4 linked regions of the Ovis aries genome follow. The protein of the gene in region 1 interacts with the protein of each later gene in a pairwise test. Links are inferred from orthologs where the notes say so. Each region holds a gene or a part of one and is shown in the gene's direction. Other genes may lie near its edges. The genes, in order: CDK6, cyclin-dependent kinase 4 inhibitor B, CCND2 and CCND3.

Evidence for each region.
Region 2: the proteins of CDK6 (region 1) and cyclin-dependent kinase 4 inhibitor B interact in binary tests that used the Homo sapiens proteins (3 or more experiments, as listed by UniProt). The link is inferred for Ovis aries from reciprocal best matches to the Homo sapiens genes CDK6 and CDKN2B.
Region 3: the proteins of CDK6 (region 1) and CCND2 interact in a two-hybrid assay, tested with the Homo sapiens proteins (2 studies listed by BioGRID, with this or other methods). The link is inferred for Ovis aries from reciprocal best matches to the Homo sapiens genes CDK6 and CCND2.
Region 4: the proteins of CDK6 (region 1) and CCND3 interact in binary tests that used the Homo sapiens proteins (3 or more experiments, as listed by UniProt). The link is inferred for Ovis aries from reciprocal best matches to the Homo sapiens genes CDK6 and CCND3.

The regions. Positions count from the first base shown.
Region 1 is NC_056057.1:10,940,233-10,948,000, reverse strand, and holds the start of CDK6 (cyclin-dependent kinase 6), read left to right. Parts: upstream 1-2,457; 5' UTR 2,458-2,599; intron 2,600-5,206; exon of another isoform or gene 5,207-5,363; intron 5,364-5,475; 5' UTR 5,476-5,845; coding exon 5,846-6,078; intron 6,079-7,768. UniProt on the Homo sapiens protein: Serine/threonine-protein kinase involved in the control of the cell cycle and differentiation; promotes G1/S transition. Phosphorylates pRB/RB1 and NPM1.
Region 2 is NC_056055.1:90,785,090-90,791,045, reverse strand, and holds the end of cyclin-dependent kinase 4 inhibitor B, read left to right. Parts: intron 1-1,994; coding exon 1,995-2,255; 3' UTR 2,256-4,196; downstream 4,197-5,956. UniProt on the Homo sapiens protein: Interacts strongly with CDK4 and CDK6. Potent inhibitor. Potential effector of TGF-beta induced cell cycle arrest.
Region 3 is NC_056056.1:211,616,456-211,624,326, reverse strand, and holds the start of CCND2 (G1/S-specific cyclin-D2), read left to right. Parts: upstream 1-3,231; coding exon 3,232-3,426; intron 3,427-4,193; exon of another isoform or gene 4,194-4,629; intron 4,630-5,153; coding exon 5,154-5,369; intron 5,370-7,871. UniProt on the Homo sapiens protein: Regulatory component of the cyclin D2-CDK4 (DC) complex that phosphorylates and inhibits members of the retinoblastoma (RB) protein family including RB1 and regulates the cell-cycle during G(1)/S transition.
Region 4 is NC_056073.1:15,731,629-15,738,492, reverse strand, and holds the end of CCND3 (G1/S-specific cyclin-D3), read left to right. Parts: intron 1-2,908; coding exon 2,909-3,068; intron 3,069-3,582; coding exon 3,583-3,719; intron 3,720-4,192; coding exon 4,193-4,360; downstream 4,361-6,864. UniProt on the Homo sapiens protein: Regulatory component of the cyclin D3-CDK4 (DC) complex that phosphorylates and inhibits members of the retinoblastoma (RB) protein family including RB1 and regulates the cell-cycle during G(1)/S transition.

The DNA.
Region 1 (7,768 bases):
TAGGGTAAGCTGCAACAGCGTATCTGGAAATTCATGAATTCCAATTTTTAAAAAACTAAGGTGATTTGCAACTTTAGAATATCTGAGATGCAGTGTGAAAATACTGGTACAAATAATTATTCTGGAATGATGTACTCATTCATGGAGGACTCCTAAACAAAGGAGTCAGAATTTTGTTCACAGTTTATAAACTTGGCACAAATTTTGTTGATAACCTGTTACCCACAAAGGAAGGTATCCATAAACAAAAACAATCTGGTATTTACTAATTTTATACAATCCATTGTAAAACTTCCTGATATGAAGCTTTAACCAACGTGGAGTTTGAATGAACCATAACCAAGCAGAGTGAATATGACAAATTAACAGTATCAGAGAAAGCAGATGACATAAAGAGAGGTAAGTAACACTCAGTATTAATCTATGTCATTAAATAAGTTTCATTGTTTTTGACATTGCTCAAGTAATCTAGTAAGCTAAATCATGGGGTTTCTAATTCATCTATGGTTGTTATCCAATTCAGTAATGAAAAACGCAACTCAGTGTAGAAAAGATATTTTTCTGTTAATTTAAAAGATATTTACAGCTTAGTATTTTTAAACAAATTATTTACTCAAATTCTTACAGTCATTTGCTGGTTCCTATGACTATTTATTGACAATTATTTCTGAGTTACATAAATGTGTTAATTACCAACAAATAAATCTTGTTTTAAAAAGCATTGATAGTGTAAGTAATTATCAAAATGGAGGATTCCCATTTGTGTCTCTGGTTTAAAGTCTAATTAGTGATTTGTAGTGATCCAGTATTTTATAGAAATACAAATTCCAACACTTTGTTTTCTTAAGTTTGTAAGGTATATGAGATTATAGCTAATCTTTACTAATATAAATTTTGTTCAGAAATTGGCTTTTAATTTAGAAGATATGCTTCTAAACACAAAAAATGTATTTTATGAACTATCTTAAGCATAAAACACACACTTTATTTTTTAAGAATAAATTATTATAATACCTTGCAAAATATTTGCTAATGAAAATGCAACAATTTTTATTTACCTAACCTGTTACTTCACATTATACTATAGAATCAATTTTATAAAGCAAAATTTTGATCTACTGTGAAATTAGCAAAATAGTTTAATTCAAAATGTCAACAGATTTATAGTGGTAGTATTTTTCATTCAAACAGAATTTTTCTGGGTTTTAATTTTTACACAGAGTCCTGAAATAAATAACATTTTTTTTAGGGTTTGCATTAAGATATTTCAAAGGGTTTCAAGTATTTTACAGATAGAGATTTTGGATAATATTGAATTCTTTCCAAAAAAATAGTCATTTTAAGTTTTGTTTTACTTCATTGTAAAAGTCTAGAAGACTTTTCTTTTCCTCCAAAATCTAATTTTCACCTGAAATATTGAGGTTTTCTCAGCAGGTAAAGTATACATTCTTACAAAGTTTCAAATTTCAGAAGTCCAGTAATGCATTTAAAGTAAGCACCCATCGAATCGTGTTCTCTCTTCTTTGTGTGTGTGTGCGTGTGTCTATTATCTTGCTGTTCTGTTACTTAAAGTCAATTTTAGGCTTTTTACCTCCACAGAAATACCTTAGTGAACCCTCGGCAGTTACTAATCACTTAATAACTGTGAGCCGGCCAGCCCCTTCAAGTAGATCGTTAACCACAAGAGTGCCAGACAATTTCCAAATCATATCCTCCGTCCAAAAGGAAAAGATAGGGCTTTGTGAGGCCGAAAGGAAGCGAAGGAAAACAAAACAAATGTAGCTCATGCTGAAAGTGAAAAGTGCTTGGACAGATTAGTATTTTCTTTTCTGCAAGGCGTCCTGCCAATTTTTTTAAATAAAGTTATTTTTTGATCTGACTTTTCAGTTTCTTGAAAAGTGTTAGTATTTACCATCCCCACCGGCCCCTCATGACTATTATCGGTCGTTTTGTGTTTTCCCCATCTGTCTACATCACTGACTGCTGAAACCCCCCGCCTGCCTCACTCTGTCAAAAACCCCAACTCTGGGCGACCCTCGGTTTGGTAACTCAGCCGACTGCCGACCACACATCCCACTCTCCCTCTCACGCCTCCTATTTTAGTCACCCCACTCCAGTTGCAGCGAAAGCCGGAAATTTTCATTTAGCTCCCCCCTCTTTCTCGCCCCCCACTCGGAGCGGAGAGCCGGGGAGCCGGAGGCTCAGAGCACAGCCGGGGCTCGGCCGCCTCCCCTCTCTCCGGAAGGCTTTAATTTGCACACTCGCTGGCCACTGAGCGGCGAGCCCCCCACCCGGCCGCCGGGAGGGTCGCGGGCCGCCGGCCTCCAGGGCCCCCCACCCCGCCCCCGCCGCCTCCCCGGCTCGGGCCCCGAGCCCGGGCCGGAGCCCCGCGGCCTCCGTCCGCCCCCAGCGCGCCGCGCGGGCGGCGCCCTCCGCCGTCCCTCCGCCCTCCGCCGCAGTGCCCACCCCCTCGCCCGAGCGAGCGCCGCTAACTCCTTCCTCGAGCCGGTTTACCTGCTCCGCGCCGCGGCGGACACGTGCGAAGGTCGACCGGTCCCCGCAGCCCCCTCGCGAGGCCCGCCGCGGCCGGGCCCCTCAGGTGAGGCGCTGTGCGCTCTGGTGGGTGGGCGGCAGGGTGCAGGGTGGGGGGGTGGTCCTTGGGGAAGACTTGGGGGCTTGGCCCGGGGTCGGCGGCTAGGGTGGGTGGGGGTGACTGGGGCGGGGAGGGGGGGCGGTAGGTTCTGGGAATCGGCTTTGGTTAACCCCTTACGATCCGAGGAGGGGTGGTTACAGGGGCCAGTTTCGGGGGAGCTACAGGAGTTTCTCCTAATCTGACTAGAGGGAAACATCCCACACGAGGGACTCCCCCCAACGCCGAGCTCCTGTGCCTGCTCGCACACAGCCTTGCGCACAAACACCCACACAAACACTTCTTATCCAGTCCTTCAAACGGAACTCAGGCTCCACTGGGAAACTCACCGAGAAATTTACATTCAGGGTTTAAAATGCACTGCTTTGGGGAACCTCACGCGGGAGAGAATGTGTTTCGGTGCCTTGTATTTATTTCCCCACGAAAGCTCCCCCTCCATCTCGCCGAGGTGTGGGTGTGAGCTCCACCTTCCCCACCGCGAGATAAATGTTAACGCAGACTTCTTGCTGGCAGCCCCCGCGGGCGTGTTCTGCACTTAAGAGAGGAGTACACGCCGGCGGCCAGTGCCCAGGCTGGAAGTCCCCCCGCAAGGATGGACGCTTGCTTTAGTTTCCTAGTTTACTTTCCTAATTTAAAATATCGTTAAAACGCACGCCCCCGGGGTGAACACCTCCTGGCCCGAGCCCCGCGCCCGTCAGTGTGCACGTGGGCGCATCTGCGTGTGTGTACACGCGGGAGTCGTGGTCCCCCGGGGCGGCCTCTGGTCGCCGCGGTGGTGGCGACCCTTGCGGTGCTTGGCAGGCTTCGGGAGAGGCACATGAAGGATTTCATTGAGTGTGAAGACAGAGAGCAGAGACAGAAAGCAGAAGGAGGCGGCTGCAGCCTTTGTAGTCGCGGAGGAATGCGGAAATGTTGAAGCACTCTGTCAAACTTTTTTGAAATGGGGTCAAGTCACATTCAGCCAGCGTGGGAAAGCAACAACAACAACAAAAAAAGTGGACGGGGCGGGGGACGGGGGGAGGCACGGCTGCTCCCGTTTCTCTCCGCCGGAGCCGACAGTCCGGGGAGCGAGGGGGGAGAGCCGGGGCGGGCGGTGCGGGGCCCGGCGGGGGCGGCGGGCGCAGCTCCCTGCGGGGGTGGGACGTCCCCGCCGCTTCCTTCGCCGCCGGGCGGCGGGCAGGACTGGGGCTGGGAGGGGGCCTGCGGGAGGGGGCGGGCGGCGCCGCTCGCCGCGGCTCCTCCGCTACCTGTGTGGCCCTCGGCCTGGCTCCGACCGCTGGTTCCTTGGCTCAGGGGGCTCGTTCCTCGGCCCCCTTACCCAGGACTGGCCTTCACCTTTTAAGGAGAATTTTGAATGGAGAGAGTGTGAGGGGCCCGGTGCTCTCCGCGGTCCCCTCCGCCCGCAGACCGCAAGGGTCGCGCAGTCTGTATCTTTAATTCCTGGCGGAAGGCGAGCGAGCCAGAGGTTGCGGGGCAGGTAATTCCGAGGAGCTCCGGGGAATTTCGGACAAGCAGTCGGAGCGGCGAATGTCCGGCGGAGGCCACAGCGTTGGTGGAGCAGAGGTCCCCTGGGTCCTGGATTGCAGCTTGAATGGGAAAGAAGAGTGCGACCCCCCCCCCCCTTCGCCGCTTTGTTGTGTGTGTGGGGTGAGCTCCGGGGGTCACTGGCTGCTATTCGGATCCGACCTTAAACTGGAAGGGGAGTGGAGCAACCTCTGCTACCTACTTCGGGAACAACCCTGGGAGTGGGGAAAGGTTCTCGAGTCCTGGCCCCGGGGGCGCAACCCCTTTTCGCTTTCCCCTGGAGGCTCAGCCTTTACTCCCCCCACCCCTCACCCTATTTAAGGGGAAGCTGAGTTTTGCTCAGGTTGCAATCGGTTGAAAAATTCAAGGCAAGTGACGATTATGCCGCTTTGCTTCTGAAGTTGTTCTCCAAGGAGACGACAAGCTGAAGTGCGGCGAGCACCTCTTTATCCCATTCTTAGGGTTCCGTAGGCGACTTCACCCGCCCCCTCGCCCCCGCCGCCACACCGCGGGGGGAGGCATCGCTCACCCACTCCGGAGTAGCGGGAGCTCCCGCCCTCTCGGATCTGATGGGTTTCCACCAGGGAGGTCTTCCCAAGTAAGAGGAAGGATTCCGTTTCCAACCCAGACTCTTTTACCTTAAAAAGACCATTTGTGTGTCGTTTTTAAATGTCTCCTCGTAGAAAAACTGAAAGTAGAAAGAAAGGAAGCAATTTCCGAGCAGATGTCTGACCACCCCTTCTCGCACACTCGCAGCATCGGGTTACAAAGGTCCTGGGAGCCCCCACCCACATTCTGCGGCCGCACTCAGGCGGACCCGAGGTCTGTCCACACCAGGCTGCGCACGACCCCAGAACGCCCCCACGGCACCCATGGAGCCCCTGTCCCCTGACGTCCAGGCCCGGCAGGCAGGGAGCGGAGCAGCGCAACACAATGATACAGGGAAATATTAAGCCGTGACATTGACGTGCCCGGCGCCTCCCCTCCCCCGCGCTCCCGGCACACTCTGGGCTGCTTGGCACGCCCCCTCTCGTTCCACCGCGTCCAGCGCCCCGCGCTCATCCCCGAGGGGCCCCTGCAACCTCTCCGGGCGAAGACGGCTCTAGCTCTGCAGGGAAAGAAAAGTAACTTCGTTTTTCTCGGAGAAACCAGGAAGGAAGCGGCCTGGGAGGGCAGGAGCTCGCAGAGGGTAGCGATGGGGGCTGCGTAAAGGAGGAGGAGGGGTCCCTGTAGGAACCCCGGAGAAGGCGCCTGGGATGTCTGATTACACTTTCTTCTTGTCCTCCCGTCTCCTCTTTTAGGTGGAATGACCGTGGACTGAGACGCGCTCGGGCTGAGACAGACTATGTAATCGCCTCGGTGTCTGCAGAGGACTGCGCTTCTGGGAGGGAAGAGGAGGGATCGGCTCGCTCCTCGGCGACTCAGCAGGCGGAGTTTCGCAGCGGCGGCTCCAGGGTTGCGCCCGCCCGCGGGGAGGTCGCTCCATCCAGCCCCGGCGGCCGCGAGAGTCCGAGCGCCCGAGCGTGGTAGTCGGCGGGGGGTGAGAGAGTGAGCGAGACCGAGCTCCGGGGCGCGAGGGAGCCGGCCGGGGAGTCCGGGAGGAGGCGAGCGGCGGCCACCAGCGAGCCGAGCGCGCCCCCCGCCCGCCCCAGCGGCACCGCGCCGGGCGGCATGGAGAAGGACGGCCTGAGCCGTGCTGACCAGCAGTATGAGTGCGTGGCGGAGATCGGGGAGGGCGCCTACGGGAAGGTGTTCAAGGCCCGGGACCTGAAGAACGGAGGCCGTTTCGTGGCGCTGAAGCGTGTGAGAGTGCAGACTGGCGAGGAGGGCATGCCGCTCTCCACCATCCGCGAGGTGGCGGTGCTGAGGCACCTGGAGACCTTCGAGCACCCCAACGTGGTCAGGTGAGCGGTGCATCGGCGCCCGTGCCGTCGGGGGCCGTGTGCTGGGGGAGGGCCTGGTATCCCCGGCCCCACGGAGATGCTGCGTGTGCGGGAGGGTGGGGGGACGGCGGGGGAGGCATGGCGCCATCCGTCGACCTTACGGAGTGAGAGTGAGTTTTGTCGACAGAGCCACGAGCCAGAGCTAGTGATCTTGCCAGACAGCGAGCAAAAAGACCAGTCAGAAAATATGACCTGCGCAGCCTTCCTCGCCGCTGTGCCAGTTCTAAGTGTTTTTCTCCCGGTTCGTCCTGAAAGGGGTCCTGAAAGATGGGTGTCTTTTAGGGGATAGAACAGGGCAATCTCGGACAGGCCTCCACCCCCCCAGCCCCCCACCCCCAGCCCCCCCGCGTGGTTTCCTTGGCCATTGGGGAAGTTTTTGAGAGAATGAATGAGAGGTAACAGGGTATGGTGGTAATTAGTAGGAAGAAAAGTCTTCTGCCAGAGCCTAGTATAAATGAGGTTTTAAAGTGCAGAAACACTTGAGAATAATTTTGTCAATTACACCTACAGTTTCCTTTCGCTAACATTGCATAATGATAAGGATTCCTGATGAAGAACTTCAGTGCCAACGCCCAGTTTGTGTCCTTTTAAAAATGTCTTCCAAATATGTTATCTGTTTGTACTATTTTGTGTGTCTAAGAGGGCATAGTCCTTAGGCTCCTTCCCTGTCAGTCAGTCCAGGTTATGGAATATTTAGATTCTAAACGTCCTGCCCAGGATTTTCCTGGGTGGGCTGTGCTGGAGGGTGGGGAGGCAGCAGTTCTTACAGTGTTTCTTGTGTGGGAACCAGTATTAAACCAAAGTGTGTGACTTTGGATAATGGTGTTTTCTTAGTGATCCTGGAATTTCCCCATTGTGTGTTTGACATTGTGTGGTGTGTCATCCTTTTCTTTTTTAAACAGAGGTGCATAGTTTTAAGCTGAAAAGGAATGCCCGGAAACTTCTACAAATTAGGGTGTGATTTTACCTTTCTCAACGTCTAAGATAATAAGTTGGAAAAAGGAGGTCTTGAAGTCTTCTTCCTGTCTTCTCATCCGTCAAGGGGCTCTAGTCAACAAATACATATCTACTACTGTATGTGTGCTGTGGATGAGATTATGTAAATAAGCATAGCTAAATGTTTTTGTGAAAAGTCAAACAATTTAACATTAGTCACCAAAGTGGAGAGACCCAAGACTGACCTTTGAAATACCAAGCCCTCTATAGACTCAGGGAGCCCATGTGTCTGCAGTCTTCCTGGGAGGTTTCGACTTGTCTCCTCTCATCCCAGGCTGGATGACTTGTATGGTGCTTTGCTCCTGCCACGGTCAGGACTCAGGCGAGAAGGCAGCAAAGAATTGTAACTACGTGAGCAAGGCAGTAAATGGCTGTAAAGCTTGGATCCCAGTATACCTATGTTTTAGCCAATAGAGAAGAGAGGGACTGAAAGAATCAGTGATTTAGGAAGATGAGATTATATATAAAAACTGTAGGTAACCTGTGTGTTTTTTTGTTGTTGTTGAAAAACAACAGAAACCCTTTTGGGTCATCTTTGTGATACTGGAGAGGAAAGCGAAGGGTACATTTGTACCCTGTAACTTAGTTATCTTCCTACAGGGATCACCCAGTCACTTCCCAAAGGGTGAATTCCACTGCTAGAATTTAAGTCCAA
Region 2 (5,956 bases), on another chromosome or scaffold:
CTTTAAACAAATAGCGATCAACTTTCAACGACAGAGATAATTAAATTTCAAGTTACGCAATTTGGATTGGATTTAAGGAATCCTACATTCACAGCACATAAAAAAAAATCATCCTGAAGTTTTAAGCTGCGATATGAAATGTTATATTCTTTCCTCATGCAGGCGAATTGAATACAAAGTAATAAGTCAGGATTCCTCAACCACAGTACTTAATTCCTTTTATTTTACGTTAGCAGTGTTTCTTGAGTGTTACATAAGAAAAAATATGCTTCTATAGATTTTTATCATACTGAATGCTTGGATTACATATACATTCCTTCAGCTTTGTTAAATGGCAAAGGGTCTTTATAATTAGCCTCTTCATTGTTAAAATTCATTTATTCGATATGTTTAACTATTAATCCCACTTTAATCAGTGCTGATATATCTTTTTAATTTCTTTAAAATCTAAGGTAGTACTTTGTGTCTTACTGTTATCCCTCAGCAGTATTAAATACTAAAAATTAGTATTCACTTCACAATCATCTTCCAGAACCAAGTCATTAGTAAGAAATCTTGTTAATCGTGCAATTTTTAAATATGTATTCATTTTGAATTCATAGAAAATATTGGAAGAAATGAGGGATTATTAAAAGCAGCAAAAATATTTTAAAGTAGTCCTTAAAGACTTCAATTATATTAGTAACTGTAAAAGGGGGGGGCTTTTATTTGTCATTTTAATTCACCATATTCTGAGATATTAAGAGCCACTTTTTCTCCTCTATATATGAAATGCCCTTTACATCACTAATAGAAAATATATCATGGTTTTTAAGGGAGGAGATGGATGTTTTCAATAACCATGGAACAATGAAAAAATTAGCATACTATATTTTGATTCCATGGTACATTTTAAAGCATAAACTCACAAGAAAATAAAATTTCATTTTGAATATTTAATTATCAAAAATTGTTAAAATAAGAAAGTAAATGCCGGCATAATGCACATGTACACAAATGGATACTGTAGGATTACTGCTTCAAAACATTGTTTTTCTAAGTTATGCATTGCTCTGATTTGACTGCTAAAATCTAAGATCCTTTTTAGATAGCAAAATGTTTACTATTTAACAATATAAAATACTAGCACATTATAAAATCCTGTACAATGCAAATATAGTATCTATTTTATGTTACATCAAATATCCTCTAAACTTTAGCCCTTATCTATAATGTTAAATATTAAAAGTGGTGAATCATTGATTGAAAACAAATAGTTTGTTTTCATCGTCTTATAAAACTATGCACGACTTTACTTTTCCCCCCTCTATCTCCCACTGTGGCTCAAATTATGGGACCATATATACGCACTTTATGAGCAAAGACATATAACAGAGAAAAGCAAAAGCCTTCCCACAGGGGATTTACTCCAAGAAATAAACAAAGTAAACCTTGTTTTAAACGTAGTTGTTTCTTATTTTCTCTCCTAAAGCATTACTCTAACGCCTAAAATAAATATATCAGCTGACTGCCTAGTAAATTTTTTAGATGGGGACTATGGCTGGGGGAGAGGGGAGAGCAAGCGAAATAAATTTAAGACTTTAAGTCTTTAAACTTAACTATGCTCATACATCATTTAACAACATAGTTCCCCTGTTTCAACGGAAATTTTTTAAAAAATTTCCGACAACAGCAATAAGCACTTTGTTATCAGCTCTTCCTTGTCTTCCCACGTTCGGAGAATAAAACTGTACGAATTAGGTCTGAGTAGAGTATAAACTGGAGAAGAAAATGGCAGCCCACTCCAGTGTTCTTGCCTGGAGAATCCCAGGGGCGGCGGAGCCTGGTGGGCTGCTGTCTATGGGGTCGCACAGAGTCGGACACGACGGAAGTGACTTAGCAGCAGCAGACTTCCGAGGCTTGTAAGGGCCTGGATGAATAGGGTTTTTTTTTTTTTTTTTTTGGAAAAGACTCTACTTGCCCCTGCGTCCTGACCACTCTGCTCTCTCTGGCAGGTGATGATGATGGGCAGCGCCCGCGTGGCCGAGCTGCTGCTGCTCCACGGCGCGGACCCCAACTGCGCGGACCCCGCCACCCTCACCCGGCCGGTGCACGACGCCGCCCGGGAGGGCTTCCTGGACACGCTGGTGGCCCTGCACCGAGCCGGGGGGCGGCTGGATGTGCGCGATGCCTGGGGCCGCCTGCCCGTGGACCTGGCCGAGGAGCGGGGCCACCGCGACGTCGCCCGGTACCTGCGCGCGGCCGCGGGAGATTGAGGGTGCGCGTACACAACCGCCCACAACGACTTTCTCTCCAGTTCGCCACCCCAACTTAGTTCAAAGAGGGCTGCAAACGTGGAGCAGCGGAAGTCTTCCAGGGCGACTGGATTCCCGGCAGCGAAGGAGGAGCTGACTGGGAATACTTTTTTCTCCCCACCCCCCCGGATACCGCCCCTCGGCACTCACCGTGATAAAATGAATAGAGGTGCGGCACATGGATTTCCAGTAGGAGCCGAGTGTGGAACTCCCAGGTTTGTTTTTCAGGGTGTTCTGGTGAAAAGCGGCCTGTGAACAAGTCCATGAACAAACCCAAGTGCTGTGAATCTTCACACACGAGGTGCTGGGGCGGAGTGGGAGGCGGCGGCAACTAGCCTTCAGGTGGGAGGCAGATGATAACGATCGCCCCACTGACCGTGAAGGACCTCCCCTGCAAGTCCCCACGTCGGGCGTGGGGCCCTGAGGGAAAATCTGGAGATGAAGGACCACGCAATGACGAGGACGAAGGTCGACACGGGCTCAGTAGGCGACCAACGCTTTCTTTACAGGCTTGAGGAGCGGGCAGGTCGCGAGCAAAAAGCTACCCACTGGAAGCCTTGCGACCTCTTGCCCAGCCCCATCAGAGAGCGATGGGTGAGAGAGGACCCGGAAGTCACCTCAATTTGCCAGCTTTTTCTAAAGTCCCCAGGTCGAGGTGATGCTGAACAGCTCTCCGAAAGGGGCGCTCATTTGCTGTTGTTACGACGAGATTCCTGCGGTGTTCCCTCCTCGCACAGACTGAAGTCCGGGCTGTAGCGAGAGCGACTGTAGGAAGACTGTTAACTGTAAAGATTTGTTTGATCTCTATACGGTAGGATTCAGAGAGCCCCCTGTAAATTGCCACTTGAAATGACTTCGTGATATTTTGTACTTCTGGGTTGTTCTTCAGTAGCAGTCTTAATTCGGAGACTTTAAATAACAAAGTAACTCGCAGCTCTTGGGAAGGAAGTGAAGAACTACAGCTTTTATGCGAAGCTGTGGCACAGTGCCATCTCCCAGATTACTTCAGTCTTTAACCTATTTATTTCTTTGTTAAAGTTTGTTTCCTTTACTGGAGTGTCTCCAGGGTCAAACTATGAAATATTACAAATGTTTTTCTTAGAAGATCCATGCCCTTACCCAGTAAATGATCTCAGGGTATTTCCCAAAGGGTTGCTGAAAGAGTACTGAGTGTGAAGCTGTCGAAAATACATAATGATGGTTCGTGAAATGTCTTAATATCTGTTGAACAAACTAAAGGTGTACTGTTTGGGGATTTCATTTCCAGTGTTGCTTGATTCATTACAGCATTGGAATAACTGACATTTCACTGTTTTAATGGTAAAAAGAAAAGTTGAGATTGGACACCAAGGTTTTGGCTTAAAACATGTGAATTCCATTCCTAATTTAAGGGAGTTGTGGAATCTGGTGACAACCTTATATTAATGGAAAGTAAATCAAGAAAATATGGTTGGGTACTACAGGGTACTGTGAGATGCATATATATATATATATATATATATATATATATATATATATATACACACATATATATATGTGCCAAAACATCATACATTATTGGAAAATCAAGTACCACCAGGTTGCAACTGAAATATTTATGATGCATGTAAAAATAAATTCAGATTTCAAATCCACCTGGTAAGTAAGGATGGCCAATGTGTTTTATCAGCTGCACAAGAAATACATATGTTGACTCTGTTTAAGATTTTACTTTGAAGGATACATGCAAATAAATATAGCTCTATATACATGAGCCCTGCTTCTGGCTCCATTTTACAATTACAGAAAAATATATATGCTAATTTCTGTATCTAAATCTAAAATATTACCAAGGTTTGTAAAGTCTTATCACCTGACCTTCACTGCAAGATCTGGAAGTAAAATAAATTTATAATTCAATAACATATTCATTTGGCCTCATTTTTTATTTCTTTTTTCAGCCGAGTGAATGGATGAGAAAACGAGGATGCTTTACTCTGAAAGCAAAATCTGTTTAAAATTTCCTATGTTCTAATGGCTAAAATTAGTGACTTCAAATATAAGGAATGAAATAAATTCTGAGAGCTCAAGATCCATACAGCTCCTAACAGTTTTGGGAAAGTGTGTTCATAGGAATGCCTTAATGATATTTTATTTCTGTGTTATGACAAAAACAACATGAATATGGTGTCCAGGACCAAATAAGTTCATTTTATAAAGCTAGGTAACTGACCTTCAGCAAACAAATAAAACTTATTTAACTTACACCAATCACATTGAGATTCTATATTGCCCTTCCTTTATGGGAGATGTTAAAAAACAAATTACTTGTGTGTTAATATGTAATAGTCAATAGGGATTTTTTTTTACCACCTCTGTAATTATCAGTTATTTAAAAAAAACCAACACATGCTTATTTTTCTTTTCCAATGTTCAAGATGTTGCCACTCTACCAAAAAAAAAAAAAAAGCAATTAGAATTAGTGATTCTAAAACCTTAGAAACACACTTGTGGACTACTTTCTGAAACAAATGGAAAAGCGAGTGTCATCTACAATATAAGAAGACTGCTTCAGTATTTACATCAGCAGCTAATCATAACCAAAATCTGATATGAGTACTAGGTTTTCACTATTAACAAACTATTTCATTATCTTGTGAAAACCTAGGTTGGTGTAATTTCATTGCATTCAATTACCAAGTTTAAAAAGATGGGAGGGTAAATACATAAGAAAATAATATTTTATTTTTTTAAATTACTTGAAGAAGCAACAAGAGTTGAATCACAATACTTTCAACATCTTTTCCTGTTCTATTTAAAATTCCAGGGAAGAAAGAGGGAATGAAGGAAAGAGAAATTAGATAGGAGACCTGGATTCTGATATTGGTTCTTCAACTAATTCAATATATGATCTACTAAATTAAATGACATGACTAGCCCCAATTTCCTCATCTATAAAAAATGGGAGTGGTACTAGATTATTTTTAAGCTCCTAATCAGCACTAACATTTTATCCCTTTATAAGTTTGTCATATACATGACTGTAATAGAGTCTTATGTTTTATTAGTAATGATTTTGCCATGGTCTGTCTGAGCCAAGAAAAGCTATATAAGGGAAGAGACAGAAGAAATTTATTTGCTGACCTTCAGCAAATAAAACTTATTTAACTTACACCAATCACATTGAGATTCTATATTGCCCTTCCTTTATGGGAAATGTTAAAAAACAAATTACTTGTGTGTTAATATGTAATAGTCAATAGTTTTTAAATTCTGGAGCCCTGGGGAATGGGGGATTTTTATAAGTACCACCTCTACCAGTTAATTGAAAAGTTAGAGACAAGTTTGTGGGAACTAGCACAAAAAAAAAGATGCTTTGTAAAATAAATATGTAGTTTAATTTTAAGCTCTTTCTTACTCCATCTTACCTGATTTTTTGTTGTCACATTTTGCATTTATCTCATGTCACGCAGAGCCACCAAAAGAACCCAGTTCTTTAAGTGAGATAAGCAGGTAAATCCAATAAATTTATTAAAATAATGCTGAAGTAGGAATTTACCAACTAAATGCTCTGAAAGGAATGATGTTTTTTAAGTACACTTATAACAAGTGATTCTGACCTAAAAGGAGTTGGTAATAGGAGTTAAAACCAAGAAAAAAGAATGGGGATTTTGGAAGGAAAA
Region 3 (7,871 bases), on another chromosome or scaffold:
TCCCGGAGACATTCCTGCCAACCTCCGCACCCTCGCACGCCCCACCCCGAGCCTCGGAGCCCGAACCACTGGGGGATGGATTCGCCGCGAGGTTGCAGTTCGGATAGAGTCGGTGATCAGAAGGGGAAGTCAACGGGGAACTGGAAGGAGCGAGCCTGCCGCGCGGGGAGCGCCCGCACTGGCGGATCGGGGTGGACGGAGAGGGCGGCTGGGAGAGGGGCACCCGCCTGCGCCCCTCCCCTTCACGACCGCCTCCCCTCCGCCCCCGGCCCCGCTCCCCGCCGGAATTTCTCAGTAAAGCCAGACGGGTTTGGGGTTGGGGGGAGGGAAGGGGCGAGGGGGCCCCTCGGCTCGCTCCGGAGACTTGAGGCCCTGCCACCCAGGCTTTCTCCCCAGGGTGGGCGAGGCCCGGAGGACGACCACCCGCCTCTTCCCCACCCCCCCTCCGCCCCCCGCTGCCCCTCTTCAGGGGACCCCGAGCTCAGGATGCTTTCTTTGCAGGGAGGTGGAGAAAAGACCGTGCTGCGTTAGTTATCAAGTGATGTCAAGAGGCTGGGGGCCCTGGCCGGCTTCTGTCCTTGCCTGTCGGGGCAGATTTATACTTTAAAAATACCTCTCTCGCCCCCACTGCCCCCAGCCCACTCCACCCTCAACTCCTGCAGGCTTTCTTTGATCCGCTCAAAGGTGGCTGAACTGAAGTTTGAGTAGGTCTTTTATGGGGTCTTAAAATGTAAGTTAACGTATTTATCCGGAGTGATTCAAGGCCTGAGTCGGGAAGTCCACGTTGACTGAAATCAATAGGCGATTGTTAGGGACCCGATCTTTTCCGAGGAACACGCTCCTGGGCCCCGGGTGTCACCCGCCGCGCGGGGCTGTTTCATTTTGAGTTTGCAACTTGGGTTTTTCAGCGAGGTTTTTTTTTTCTTCCCGAAAGCTAATGGCTTCCACCGTAATTAGACATTCTCCTCGCCCGCCCCCTTCCCTCCCCTTTCTTTACGTACAGTCGATAGGATCCTAATTCCTGCGGCTATTGATAAGGTCGCGGGCGCCCCGGCCTCTCACCAGCCCCCGCCCGCCCCATCCCCGCTCTCCCTCCGCCCTCCCTTCCTTGGCTTCCTTTTGATGTAGCGGGGAACGCGTCCTACTAAAAAAAAAAAAAAAAAGTAATCTGCCCGGTAACAATCAGCGCGCAGTAGCAGGAGACCCAGAGCTATTGGCTATGCAAATAGAGGGAGGGGAGACGGCGCCCCAAACTCTTACTCACCCTTTTAAAGCGATAGCCCCCTCCACCCACCCACCCACCCACCCACCCCTTCCGCCCCACCCTCGTGGAAAGGGGCTGGGCCCGGGGCCGGAGTTAATCGCTCGCACCTCTGGTTTTCTGCGCGCTCCCCGCGTTCCCTTTCACCTCCCCCTCCTTTCAGGGAACCGCTCGCCCGGTTCACCCATCCCGCACCCGCCCGACCACGCTCGCCCTCCGTGCCCCGGTTCTGAGACCCTCCTTGCTCCGCGAGGGAGGTGCTGGGCTGACCTCGGGGTGTCGCGAGAGCCCCGACCCACGCGGCGCTCGCCGCACGTGCCAGCTCGGCCAGCACCCGGGACGCAGGGCCCGCTCCTTTCCCCCTCGGAGTGAAATAGCACAGAGGGCAGGGTGGGAGGGGGGTGGCGGGAGGAAGGAGGTGAGGAAACGCCCCCGGATCCCCTCCCAAAGCTGCTTTGACCGGAGGATGCGTCGGAGCACGTGTCGGAGCCGACCGCGTCTCCACCGCAGTCCAGTTCTCGAGGAGAAAGCCCTGGCTGCGATGGAGGCGTGAACCCGGAGGGTCCGCGAGTGTGCCGGCGAGGGACCCGGGGTGGGAGATCTTGGGCCTCGGAGGAAACGAAGGAGTGGTGTCGTTGGCGCTGGGGGAGAGACAGGGAGCCCAATCTACCCCCCTTTCTCGCCCCCCTCCCGGCCCCCCCCCCCGCCCCGGGCTATTTCCTAGAAAGCTGTATCAGTGTGGCCACGCTCGGCGCAGACACCTCGGGCGGCTTGTCAGCAGATGCAGGGCGAGGAAGCGGGTTTTTCCTGCGTGGCCGCTGGCCGCGGCGGAACCGCTGGTAGCCCTGCCCCCGGCCTGCGGCGGCTCGGGGCGCCTCCCCGCGTCTCCCAGTGGCGCCTGCGGCGCCCCAAGAACGGGAGGGTTTCTGCTCCTAGGTCACATTCTCCCACGTCGAAGAAGCGCCCCCTCCCTCCGGACACCAACCCCTCCGCCTTCTTCCTTTCCCCACACATCTGCGTGGTGGGGGGGGTGGGGCGGTGGCATGGGGCGGAGTGGGGGGGTGTATTTTGGTCCCTATAATCGGGTTTCGGAAACAGGCTGAAAATGATTAAGAACGTACATTTCAGGGCCATACATACCCTTTCCCTCTGGGTATGCAAAGTTAACTGTTTTCCAAAATCACCCTCCTTCGGGCTCATATAAGGGATCTTATTTCTCAGTCGTTTGAGCCCACCTCATCTTCAGCTCACCCACCCGTCATTCCTGGATCTTAAATTCGTGGGCTGGAGTGTAGCGATCATGTTTGAGGAAACCAGAGTCGGAGGGTCGTATTTTTGGCGGGATGCACCTACAGAATGGGCTGCAATTACAGGGAATAAGTAGGGATCGGTGGGGTTTTGTGGTTTTTTTGGTGGGTTCCCCTCTCCTGGGCCCCTGGCTTGGTGGAGGGAGAGGGCCTCGGAGAGCTAAGGGAGAGGGTGGGGGGCGGCGCGGGGGACCGCGTTTGAAGTTTGGTCGGGCCAGCTGCTGTTCTCCTTAATAACAAGAGGGGAAAGGAGGGAGAGACTGAAAGGAGGAGGGGAGGGCCGGGAGGGGAGGGAAGGGGAGGAGGAACCGGAGAGGGGGGTGAGGCGAGAGGGAGGAGAAGTAACTGCCCAGCCAGTTTGCGTCACTGCCTCAGCGAGCAGAGAGCCGAGCGAGCTGGGGAGAGCAGACAAGTTTGAAGGGGAGGGCAGAGAGAGTCAGCCGCCCCCGGGGCGCTCCTCTCCCACCGCCCATCCTTCCCTTTCCACTCTTCCTCCCCGGCTTCTCTCTCTCTCTCTCTGCCTTTAACTCTACCCCTCTAAAAAAACCCTTATTTAGCCAAAGGAAGGAGGTACGGGGAATCCTCTCCCCTCCCCCCTCCCAAAAAACCCCCAACTTTTCCAGTCCGGAGATCGCAGGGGCACGAGCGAGTAGCCAGCTGGCCATGGAGCTGCTGTGCGGCGAGGTGGAGCCGGTCCGCAGGGCCGTGCCGGACGCCAACCTGCTCCACGACGACCGCGTGTTGCAGAACTTGCTGACCATCGAGGAGCGCTACCTGCCCCAGTGCTCCTACTTCAAGTGCGTGCAGAAGGACATTCAGCCCTACATGCGCAGGATGGTGGCCACCTGGATGCTGGAGGTAGGGCTGCAGGCAGGCGCTCCGTCGGCGCCCGCGCCGGTCCCGGAACCTGGGCGAGGGCAGCCTCGGGAGCCCGCCCCCCCACTCCTGCGCCAGAGCTTACCCCCGCGCCCTCGGCCAGACGCGTGGCTTCCTCTCGGTTCCTTGCGGGGGGTGCAAGATTCCCGGGGCGGGGGGAGGGGGAGAGCAGCGAGGTTGTCCCAGGGCTGGGGGTGGGGGAGCATCCCGAGCGCGTGTGCCTGCATGCGGCTGCCACCTCTTCCCACCGGCACCCACCCCCGCCGCGACCTTTTGCTAAGCCGAGGCTGCTTGCGGTGCCTTGAAGAAGAGAATGGGAGGGTGAACCCCGAAGTTAAAAAGTCAGCTGCACCCCCTTCCCCCGCAAAGGCCAGAGCAAATGGGTCCTAGCCTCGGGTCCCCGCATGTGGTCGGGACTCCGCGTTGGCACTTAAGGGGGGAGGGAGAGGGCGGAGGGAGAAGAGAAATGGGGAATTCAGGAGCCCCGGAAGTCACACTGAAGAAACGTGTGTTTTCGGGGAACCCAGAAGAAGCACTTCTTTCCCCTTGCTCCGAACCCTTGCCGTGTGCCCACGTCTGCACGGCTCCGGACCTGCCGTGGTTTCGCCATGTTGCTTTGTAAACTCGGGGGTGGAGCGGCTGGACGCGTCGCCTGCTCCCCCTCGCACCCCACGACCCCGGTCCCCCCACTTCTGATGGCGCCCTCTCTCCCCCATCACCCACCCCGCCCCCTCGTGAAGGTTACTTACGGTTCGGCCTTCAGTTTCCTGGGTGCGGAGATCTGGGTGGGGTGGGAGGGGGAGGAGGTGTGTGCAGGGGGGATAGCGGGGCCCCCCCGAAGGAGAGGCCGGAGCCCCCCGCGCCTCTCCCCGGCGGCTCCCCGTCCACGAGCGTCCCCCAGCTCTTCGCCACCGTCCCCGGCCTCTGCCCTTGTGGGCCGCGGCCGGACACTCCCGCCGCCGCGCTCTCCCCTGCAAGTTTCCCCTCGGGATCCGAAGCCCCAGGGGTCGCGCTCCAGACCTTCCCGGCGCCTCAAACCTCCGCTGCGGGAAGCCTGGGTCCTCTGCGGGGTTTTCACGGCGAAAGGGCTTTTCTGGGATATTTCCTCGATTTTTAATTATTTTTTGAACCCGTCTCCCCTGCTCCGACTCCGGCCGCCCAGGCTGCGCGGCGCTCGCTCCCTCCGCCCTCCCCCCGCTTCCCCACCTCTCCCCACCCACCCCCCCAAATGCGGCGCCTGGGCCGCGGGGACCCCTCCAGACAATTTTTTCAATTGTCGGGAATGATAGAGCAGGGTCTGGGGATCCGAATGAGACCAAGAACGAGACCCCTGGAGCCTCCAGAATATTTTTATTGATTTTTTGAAAAGATGACGAAATCCAAAAAAGAGAGTGAGTGAGTGCGAGCGCCCGGAGTAGTGAGCGGCCCACGGGGGCGGCGGGGCCGGCGCTGCTGCGCCCTCGGCTTCGGGGTCCTTAAGCCCCCTCTCCTTTGAGATTTTAAGTTCCCGGGGAGGACCCCCGCGCGGATGGCCATGTAAATTGCCCCCAGTTTCCTCGTCTTCATTCTTATCGCTTATTCTACTCCCCTCCCCTCCCCCCAAATTCAACATTTTTGTCATTTCCCTGGATTGTGCGATTTCCCTTTCTTCCTCCTTTCCTGATATGATGGTCTCCCCCTACCCCGACCCCTTCCCACTCATGTCGTAGGTCTGTGAGGAGCAGAAGTGCGAAGAGGAGGTCTTTCCTCTCGCCATCAATTACCTGGACCGCTTCTTGGCCGGAGTCCCAACTCCGAAGACCCATCTGCAGCTGCTGGGGGCCGTGTGCATGTTCCTGGCGTCCAAGCTCAAAGAGACCATCCCGCTGACCGCTGAGAAGTTGTGCATTTACACCGACAACTCCATCAAGCCTCAGGAGCTGCTGGTAATGCCTGCCTCCTTCCTGCCTGCCTGCCTTTCTGCTCTGCCCTGGCCTAATCCGCCTTGACCCACCGCTCCCAGAACAAACTCTTAGGACCCCAAATTACCCATCTGTGAAATGTCCACCCTTTGGGGAACTCTGACTTTTCCTATTGAGACTCCTTGTGTTCCTACTGTGTGCTGGACTGTATATACAAAGCACTCAGGCTCCGCCCATGCATAAGATTCTCCTTCACAGAGTTTTGGGTTGGTGACACTCATTTGCAGAAAGAGAGAGAGAGAGAGAGAGAGAGAGAGAGAGAGAGAGTGTGTGTGTGTGTGTGTGTGTGTGTAGTGGAGGTATAGAACACAGTGATAATATTTTAATCAAATTCCCAGTTTTCAATCACTGACTTCTGAGACAGTCGTCAACCTCAACATGATCCAGACGCGTTGTGACGTGTCTCCTAAGAACTAGGAGTTCAAAGGTAGCGTCTAGGGAATCTCTCAGTCTCTCTGGCATACCTGGACATAGCAGCTGTTCACTAAACACCAACTCACTGGCTTTTGAGCAGAGTCAAGTTTGGCCCTTTGTGGGAGGATTCGGAGGCATGGATTCCCGTCTTTGGTGGGGCTGTAACCTCTGTACAGACATGGGGATCTTGTCTGGGCTCTGGTTTTCTGCCAGCAAACCTTTTCCCCACCCAGTAGGAAGGACCCTTTGCCTCTGCAGCTTCACCTTTAAGACGTCCATGTAGCCGTAGTGTGGCATTGGCTGAGTAGCCCCAGAGGCCCACCTTCAGTGATCTGCACACCCATCTCCCAACTCTTTTGGAAGAGCGCCCCCCCCACCTCCACCCTCCCTCGCTGCTGGCCAGGCCTGCGCCGAAGTCCAGAGGGCCTGGACTGGCTGCCTGAACTGAGTTCTTTGTGAGAGGCCGTCCTCCCTGAGGCTGTGCTGCCACCTAGCGGCAGACATGTGCAAGGACGGGGAGGAATCTCCGAGAATGCAGAGGGGCATGAATGACCTCACCTTTGAACAGCTGCCAGATTTCAGCTGCTTCTGGTTTGGTCGGAGAGGCCCAGAAAGGTGCTTTCTTCTGGGAGATCTGCTTCCTTTAATAATGGTACAAGTCGAGTGGTTTATACTCACATTCTCCGGTGAGAAGGAGAGCTGGAATTTCAAGCCGTCTTGGAAGACCCTGATTGTTTAGAAGGCTATCTGTGTTTTTACCCCCAACCTCCGGAAAAAAGCAAAGGCCGACATTAAAGCCAGTAAAGACAAACAAATGGGTAGAATTAAGATCCAGTTATTATTTGTTTTCCCCAAGGAAGACCAGGAAAAATAATCTTCCTTTTGCATCACTGTTTCATCATGATGGGGAGCTCAGATCTTTTAGAGCACCCCAAGTTTTTTGAGGGTCTGCCAAGCTAATTTGTATTTCTGCAGACACACGTGTCTGTTCCTAGTCTCTTTATCCCAGAAGTTGAGCTCTAGAGGGGTCCTCCAATTCTACCAATGAGGAAGCTAAGACCAGGGAGGGGAGGGCTTTGGGGGAGACCACACAGCCGGTGGGTGCCGTGGGCAGAATGGGGCTCCGGTGGCTGGGGGGAAGAGAGTCAGTTTCCCCGGGTGAATGTGGGAGCGAGCTGCACTGGCAGGCTGCTCTCAGCCTCTCGTTCCTCTGACGGTGATCTATCGATAGACCTGTTTTCCCTCTGACTGCACGTTTTTTTAAGGCATTCTTTTTGACTTGTTTCCCTTGAGCATAATTCCCCCTGAAGTACCTCCATGAGGAAAAGAAACAAGGTTTTTTCAGTAGGTGGGCTGCTGGTGAGAGGCCCACAGACACCGGGTTAGCCTTGTGCCAGGATTTGGGCTGCATTCTTCTCTATGACCTCGAACAAGCACTTTAATCCTCTCCTGAATCCCCTCTAGCCGCAAAACGGGGTGGGGGGCTGGGGGTGGCCAGTGACCCTCCGGTCCTTTAGTCATGGTAACAGAAAACTGCGAAAACCTGTATGTGGAAGGGTGTGCTGTGTCTGGGTGTCATTTCCTGAGGTCTTCTGCGTTGTGTGTCCAGGGGAAAGTCTTGGCAGCAGAGAGGAAAATGGTACTTTTTGGCATCGACGGCAGACGAGCTAATTGGTTGTCAAGAATTTAGGCCAAGAAACCTAAATTTGAGCTTCTTTTTGTGTACATCATTTTTCCAGGAGAATGAAAAAAAAGACTCATTAATCCAGTCACTGATATATACAATAAATTCCTACCAAAGGGCCACCACAACCTTGGCGGTATTTTACTGTGAATTCAACCTCCTGGGTGGGCGGGCGAGAGCATCCTCTGGAAGTCAGGGTTGGGTGGGGAGGTGGGGTGTGCAGCTGGAGAGGCTGAAGAAATAGCAGAAAGGACCATCGAGGCAGGGGCCACCTGGGTGCTCAGGTTTCTGGGGAGCTTGACATTTGAAGCCTTAAGAGCCATCATCCACTTCAAAACTTTAGGACCACTCTGATAAATGGTCCCACC
Region 4 (6,864 bases), on another chromosome or scaffold:
CAGCACCCCCTGCCTCCTTCCTAACGTACCAGGATGGGGGAAGCTGAGACCTCGGGAGGCTTTCTGCCCCTGTGCAGGGTAGCAGCTTTTTTTCTTTTTCTTTTGACAAAAGATGGGACAGTGTGGTGTGATGGTCAGGGTGGCCCCAGTTCAGGCTTGCACTCCCAGCATGAACCAGATCCCCTGTCTTGACCTCCAGGGGGTGCCACTCCTTCATGGTCTTTCCCCCAGATAGCAACAAGTCAAACTGCATGTCTACACTCACCAGAACTTTGCCTCTGGGTTTACACAGCCACCAGGAGTTATTTATTGGCAGCAGCAGGGCATGCCTGTGCACCCCCACTGGAGTGGGGGAGTGGAACGTGCTTCACGTGGGGGAAGGGGCCGCCCGGGTTGAATCTTGTCTCCCAGTGTGTGGACTTTGTGATCAAAAAGTCTCCCAGAGCTGATTAAAGCCAGGCCCCAGCTGCTGTAAGGAAGGGCCGAGGAGTTCCATCCCACTTTGCTTCCTTCCTTCCTTTTATATCCCAGGAGAACCAGCTCCTTCCCTCATTCTCCATTCCCTAGTCTCACCCTGAGAAATTGCTCTCAGAAGCAGCTGCTTCAGGCCTGGTGGAATCATCTTTTCCCCTTTAGCCAAAGGCAAGTGCTGAGGCACAGACTGGGGCTGAACTGCAGCTGCTTCCGATGTGATAATGATGCCCTCTCCCCTGGCCCACCCACCCTGACCAAGGTCTTTCATAACCCTGTGGGGAGCTGCTGTCACTCCTGTGGTTTGGGAAGTGGCTCCCTGGGCCTCTTGCTGGGAACTTGGGCTGGGCTCTTCCCGAGGCAGGGCAGGGGAGTCATGGTTCTCTTTCCCCATTGAGCCTGGAGAGGAGGTGGGGAGTTGCTTGGATTTGGAAGAGGTTATTTGGGAGCGTGCAGATCATCTCTCGGGGGACCCAGGGGAGAGGGGTGAGCTGGCACCTTCCTCCATCTTGCTCTACAGCAGTCGAGTCTTCTCTTGACCCGAGAGGCGTCTCTGGGCCCCATCTCCCGGGGAGGAGGGCAGCGTGCTGGCTGCTGTGATTGGCTGGCCAGGAAAGCCAGGGTACTGGGGCCCCTGAGTGCTGCTTGTCGGGGAACGGGATTCCTCTTCCTGCCAAGTAGCTCTCGGATATGGGAGTAGGAGGCCAGAGCTGGGAATCTGGGAGGCTCCACAGCTCTTTGTGATGAATCTGGTAGTTTGGGGCAAGTCTGAAGGTGGAGCTGGTTTCCAGGGCTAGAGAGCAAGATGTTTCTGAAGGAGTTTGGGCTGGTGGAAGGGGACTTCATTTTTGTGAAAAGATGAGCATGGGATGTGTGCCTTTATGTGAGGGCAGTTTTTCAGAACAGGCCAAAAGTCCTCTCCTCCCACTCCCCCTGCCTGAGCTGGGGGTGGAGCGTGCCGATCGATGACTTCCTAGAAGGTCAGAGTTGGAAGGGACATCAGAGAGCTCCGGTCAGTCCAAATAATCCTTGTGCCGCAAAGAAGGTGGGGGCCCAGAGGAGGAAGGAAGGGTCCTGGCTTGGTGCTGCACGGAGGGTGTGTTTGAGGCCTCAGGTGGCCTCAGAGGTTAGGGTTTTGATGGAAGCTGCTAGGGGTGTGTTCTCTGTCATGTGAGGACTGAGATTCTCAGGAGATACTCTGCCCAGATGGAGGGTAAGGTGGCCACCTTCCCCCAACGCAGGACCCTATGCGTCCCCACTCCGAGCTGCCTTCCAGATGTTTCCTTGGATCCTGGATGCTTTTTGTTGACTTCTGAGTTAGGAGTTTGACCCCTGGAATAAGCACAGGGAGTAGAATGCTAAATTCTCTGCTCAACTTCTTCTGGCTCCAGGCCAGGCTGATTTCTGTGAGGCTTTGTGAGAGGCTGAAGATCATGACACCTAGGTGGGGGCCAGGAGAGGGGCAGCTGTGACAGAGGGCCGAAAAGAGATTGGGTGGGGTTGCCATTTCTACCCCATGAAGGGTCAAACCCGTGAGTTCCTTCCTGAGATAAGACAATGAAGAAATCCTCCTGTGTGCAACTCAGAAATAGGGCCAGGGCTGGGAACCTCAGAGGAGTGGACTGGGTGGGGCTCCCAGTCTCCTTCCAGGACCCAGCAGTAGTAGGGAGGCTGGGACTGATGGAGAGATGGTTTGGTCCCTCAGGGATCATCACCTGGACCCATCCTGTCTGCCTTGACCTCCACTTCTCCCCCTGAGACTCAAAGACACTAAGCACTGGGTTTCAGCCAGAGAGGTGGAGTGGGGTGCTCTATTTCAGCCCCCCACCCCAGTGTCCCCCCAAGGGGATGTGGGTTGGGTTGGGCAACCTCCACTTTGAGGAACCTTGGGGTTGGCTCAGGGGCTGTGTCAGAGGAGGAAGGGCCTCACGCTAACCCCAGTTTCTTCAAGAGGTGTGGACTTGGTGGGCATGCTGAGTTGGGGGAGAGGCTAGTAATCTCCCCTTTCGCAAATCCTTGAGATTATGGAGAGTCTTTCTGCTTCACACCAGAAGAGCCTCTAGTTCCTGGTGATGGTGGTCTGCAGACTTTTCTTTCAGCTATGACTGGAGGCCTGCTCAGAGCCTTGCAGGAAGTTGAGAGAAGGCCTGGACAGTTGGACCCCCAAAAGATAACCCAGCAGGATTAAAAGAGGCAGTTTATGTAAAGCATGTAGTTCTGGCATCTAGGAAGTTGATCAATAGATGCTCAAAGCAAGTGCCCCTAGCTGTTCCCTGCCCTGGACTCCCCATTCCACAGTGCCAGTCCTGAAGTTCAAAAGCAGACCTGGAGTCTTGACCTTCAAGTGTGATGTGCTTCGTTCCCTGTGAGACTTCCACTTTACTTCCTCCCCTTCCCTTCTTCAGCCACTGACCCCGCCCTCTTCCTCTGCCTCCAGGATTGGGAGGTGCTGGTCTTGGGGAAGCTCAAGTGGGACCTGGCCGCAGTGATTGCCCACGATTTCCTGGCCCTGATTCTGCACCGGCTCTCTCTGCCCCGCGACCGACAAGCCTTGGTCAAGAAGCACGCCCAGACCTTTTTGGCCCTCTGTGCTACAGGTAAGAGTCCCACACACACATGTGCCAAGCCAGGGAAATCAGAAGACTTGGAAAGGTGAGAGAGAACTAGGAGGTTCGGTTTATAACTTCAAAATTTGTGAAAATTCTATCCTCTGAGCCCCCAGTATCAACACAAGAAAGCAGCAGAGCTGTTTGGGATCTCAGAGATGCTGCAGCCCCCCACCCCCACCTCCCACCTGAGTATGTAGCTGGGGACACCAAGGACTTAGAGAGAAGTGACTTGCCCAGGCTGTCTCAGTGACTAAGCCAGGCCAAGAACCCAGGTCTCTTAACCTTAATTTTGTGTCCATACCAGGAAGAGACCCATTCACTCTCTGGTTCCTGGCCTGGATCACTTACTACCCTGACCCTCTCCCCAGCTGTTCTTATACCACGCACTGCTGGGGTGTCCCAGTATACCCGTGCTCTATTCATACAGCCTGGCACTTCCTGGGAAATAAAAGGTGCATGCTGGTATTCACCCTTGTCTCATGGTCCCTTTTCTCTTTCCTAGACTACACTTTTGCCATGTACCCACCATCCATGATTGCCACAGGCAGCATCGGAGCTGCAGTGCAAGGCCTGGGTGCCTGCTCCACGTCTGGGGACGAGCTCACAGAGCTGCTGGCAGGGATCACAGGCACTGAAGTGGTGAGTGCTGGGCAGCTGGGCAAATGGCCTCAGCTCACGAGGTAGCACTTTCCCCTGAGCTTCCAGCAGAGGGTGCTATGGACCACCCCCAACCTGGTCTCCACTCCAGGTTTCAAGTGCCCCACCTTTGTGGCTTCTGTGGTCTTTTATCTCCTGCCTTGGTCTGGAGAAGAGCAAGTGCTGCGGGTGGGCCGAAAGGCACTGCCCCTGGGTACCCTTTCCTTGCCGAGCAGTATGCAGGAGTGGGGGTGGGGGGTTCGGTGTCAGATGTCAGGCCCTCTCACACCCTCTTGCCACATCCTCTTGCCAGTTTCTGAGAACTGAAGGCTGATTCCTGGGGTTGGGCTGTGGCCTAACCTCCCCAGACTTCCCTGTGTTGGGAGGTGTCCTCCTGTACCTGCTGCCAGATGCTGGTGGAGGACGGGAAGCGGGGTGGGAAGCGGACCTTCCTCACCACTCCCCCTTGTCCCCAGGACTGCCTGCGGGCCTGTCAGGAGCAGATTGAAGCTGCCCTCAGGGAGAGCCTCAGGGAAGCCGCCCAGACCTCTCCCAGCCCAGCGCCCAAAGCCCCCAGGGTCTCCAGCAGCCAGGGGCCCAGCCAGACCAGCACTCCCACAGACGTCACGGCCATCCACCTGTAGCCCTGGAGAGGCCCCCTCGAGTGGCTGCTGACAGCAGGAGGGGACCTTGTCCCTCCCTGGCTGCAGGAACGGAATCATGCCACAGCTGAAGCCTGAGGGGGCTCCTTCCCCTTGCCCCTCGCCAGCCAGGGGGGTCAGGTCCTACCTAACCCTGCAGCGTGCACTAAGGGGCCTGGCCGGCCACGGCTGGGGGCCAGTCCGGCTCCTCCTCCTGCCTGCATCCAGCCAGTGACATTGAGGTGTAATACATGTACCAGCATTCCTTTCTAGGGGCTCCCTTATCTCTGGGGCTCTCAACTGCCAAAACTGAACCCGAGCCCCTGGCAGAGAAAGCTCGGAGTCCTAACCACTGGACCGCCAGGGGATTCCCTAATTACTGCATTTGGATTGGGATCTTTCTGAAGAAGCCTCGGATGTTCTAGTTACACATTAGGGGCAAGAGTGGACATCCCTCTCCAAGCACGTGGAGGCCCGGCATAATCCTAGCTACTCCTAGGAGGGGCCCCGGCCACCGTCCAGGGGCAGGAACCAACCTCCTTGCTTTGCTTTCTGCTCAGCTTCTCCTGTGTGATTGGGGGGAGGGGGGTGTCAGTGCAGAAGGAAGTTGTTTTAATTTATTAATTACTTTGAGTACAACTGTATGAGGGTGTGGTGGGGCCCTTCTCCCCCCGCCACAGGGGTGGTAACCCTGGTGGTTGCTGTATTCCTCCCCTCTGCTACTTGCTAGAGGATCTTTGTGGCCAAGGAGCTGCTATGCCTGGAGTGGGGCCATACCCTCCTCTCCCTTTGGCCCTCTGCCCCATCCTCCAGGAGCAGGGGGTGTTGTGGAATGAAGCAGGGGATGACCTGGTGATGACCAAGCCCCCTGTCCAGAGAGGGAGGCAGGCCCTGTTAACACAGGTCTTTCCTGAGGCCACAAGGTCCAGGCTGGTGGCTGAGGACCATCATGCTACCTTTATAATAAAGTTTCTAGAATAAAACTGACTTTGGCTTCTTGGATTAGAGGGCAGTCTGTGGGAAAGCCTATTTCTAGACTGCATGGGGTAAAAGAAGGCAGAAATCAATGTCTGGAGCAGGAGTCGTCCCACCTTTTCTGTCTTGGGCCAGAGCAGACACTTCAGGCTTTGTGGGCCATGTGGCTTCTGCCTGTGTTATCCGAAGGTCTGCTGTAGAACCTGATGTGCACATTTCTAAAAAGCACTGCACTGCAAAACTGCACAATTAAGGCCACATGGCTTATGGGGGAAAACGGGGCCTGAAGCACAATACTCAAATACTTAATGAAGGACACTTTTTTTTTTAAGATGGTGTTTTTACACATTAAATGGCTAAGAAACATACTGTAATAAATATGGCCCTTTATCTTGAAAAACAAACACCTGAAGTTGGCTGTGGAAGCAGAGGTCGGAAGGATGTGGAAGGCACGTTGTGACACCAGATGTGGGTGTGGTGCCAACCCAGAAGGTGAGCTGGGGGCGTTGGCACAGGGCTGGGCATGTGCGTTTTGTGTCATCTGGCTTGGCTCTGTGGGGGTAGTTTTTTGCTTTCATCTAGTGTCTCAAGACAGAACTATATAAATGAAATTTGCTTTATGACCGAATAGAGTCATTAGGTTGGAACAAACTCATATTTGCAAAAGCAAGTAACAGGGTTCTAGCCAGGCTGCACTGGTCTCTGCTGTAGGGGCAGTGAAAGTAGTCACAGGACATGGAAGTGGATGGATGTGGCTGTGTCCCAATAAAACTTTATTTTAGGGACACTGAAACTTAAATTTCATATAATCTTCACCTATCACAAAATACTGCTGTTTTTTCTCTGCCTCCCCCACCAACCATTTAAAATGTAAAAAATCATTTTTCTCTCATGGACTGTAAGAAAACAGGCATACACAACCCTGATTTGCCAACCCCTGGTTGAACGCTTTCATTGGCTAAGAAAGTTAGAAAGGGAACTGGTCTGGTGGTGACCCTGGGTCTGACCTTTCTCATCCTGAATTTCCACCTTCCTCTAGGTGCTTTCTTCTAGCTCTTGCAACCAATCTGAGACCTTCTCGTGTTTGAACAACCTCCTGGTTGCTGGTATTCTCCCCAAGTAGCTTGTGTCAGGGGAAGGCAAAGGCTGTGCCCTCTAGGGGCTGGCAGGGTGGGTACAGCCTAGAGAAGAAGAATAAGGTGGGGGAAATACGTGGCTCCCATGTAAATAGGTAAGAATCCACTGCTACGCATGAGGGGAAAGCAGTGCCCGCCTCCAGCGAAGCAGTGCTTGCTTCCAGCGAAACAAGGATAGCAAAGATCTCCATCCATCACATCAAAACACTGAGGTTCAATAAATACCTGCCTTTTGTCTTTATCCACCTCCCGGTGACCTGACACCAGCCTGAGAGGAAGTACCCATTCCAACCCTAGCTGGGACCCGGGAGTGCTGGGCTGTGGGACCTCAAGTCCGGTCTCAGAACTGAGCAGGGATGCAGGCCTAGAACGCAAGAGGGAACCAGCCCTACTCAG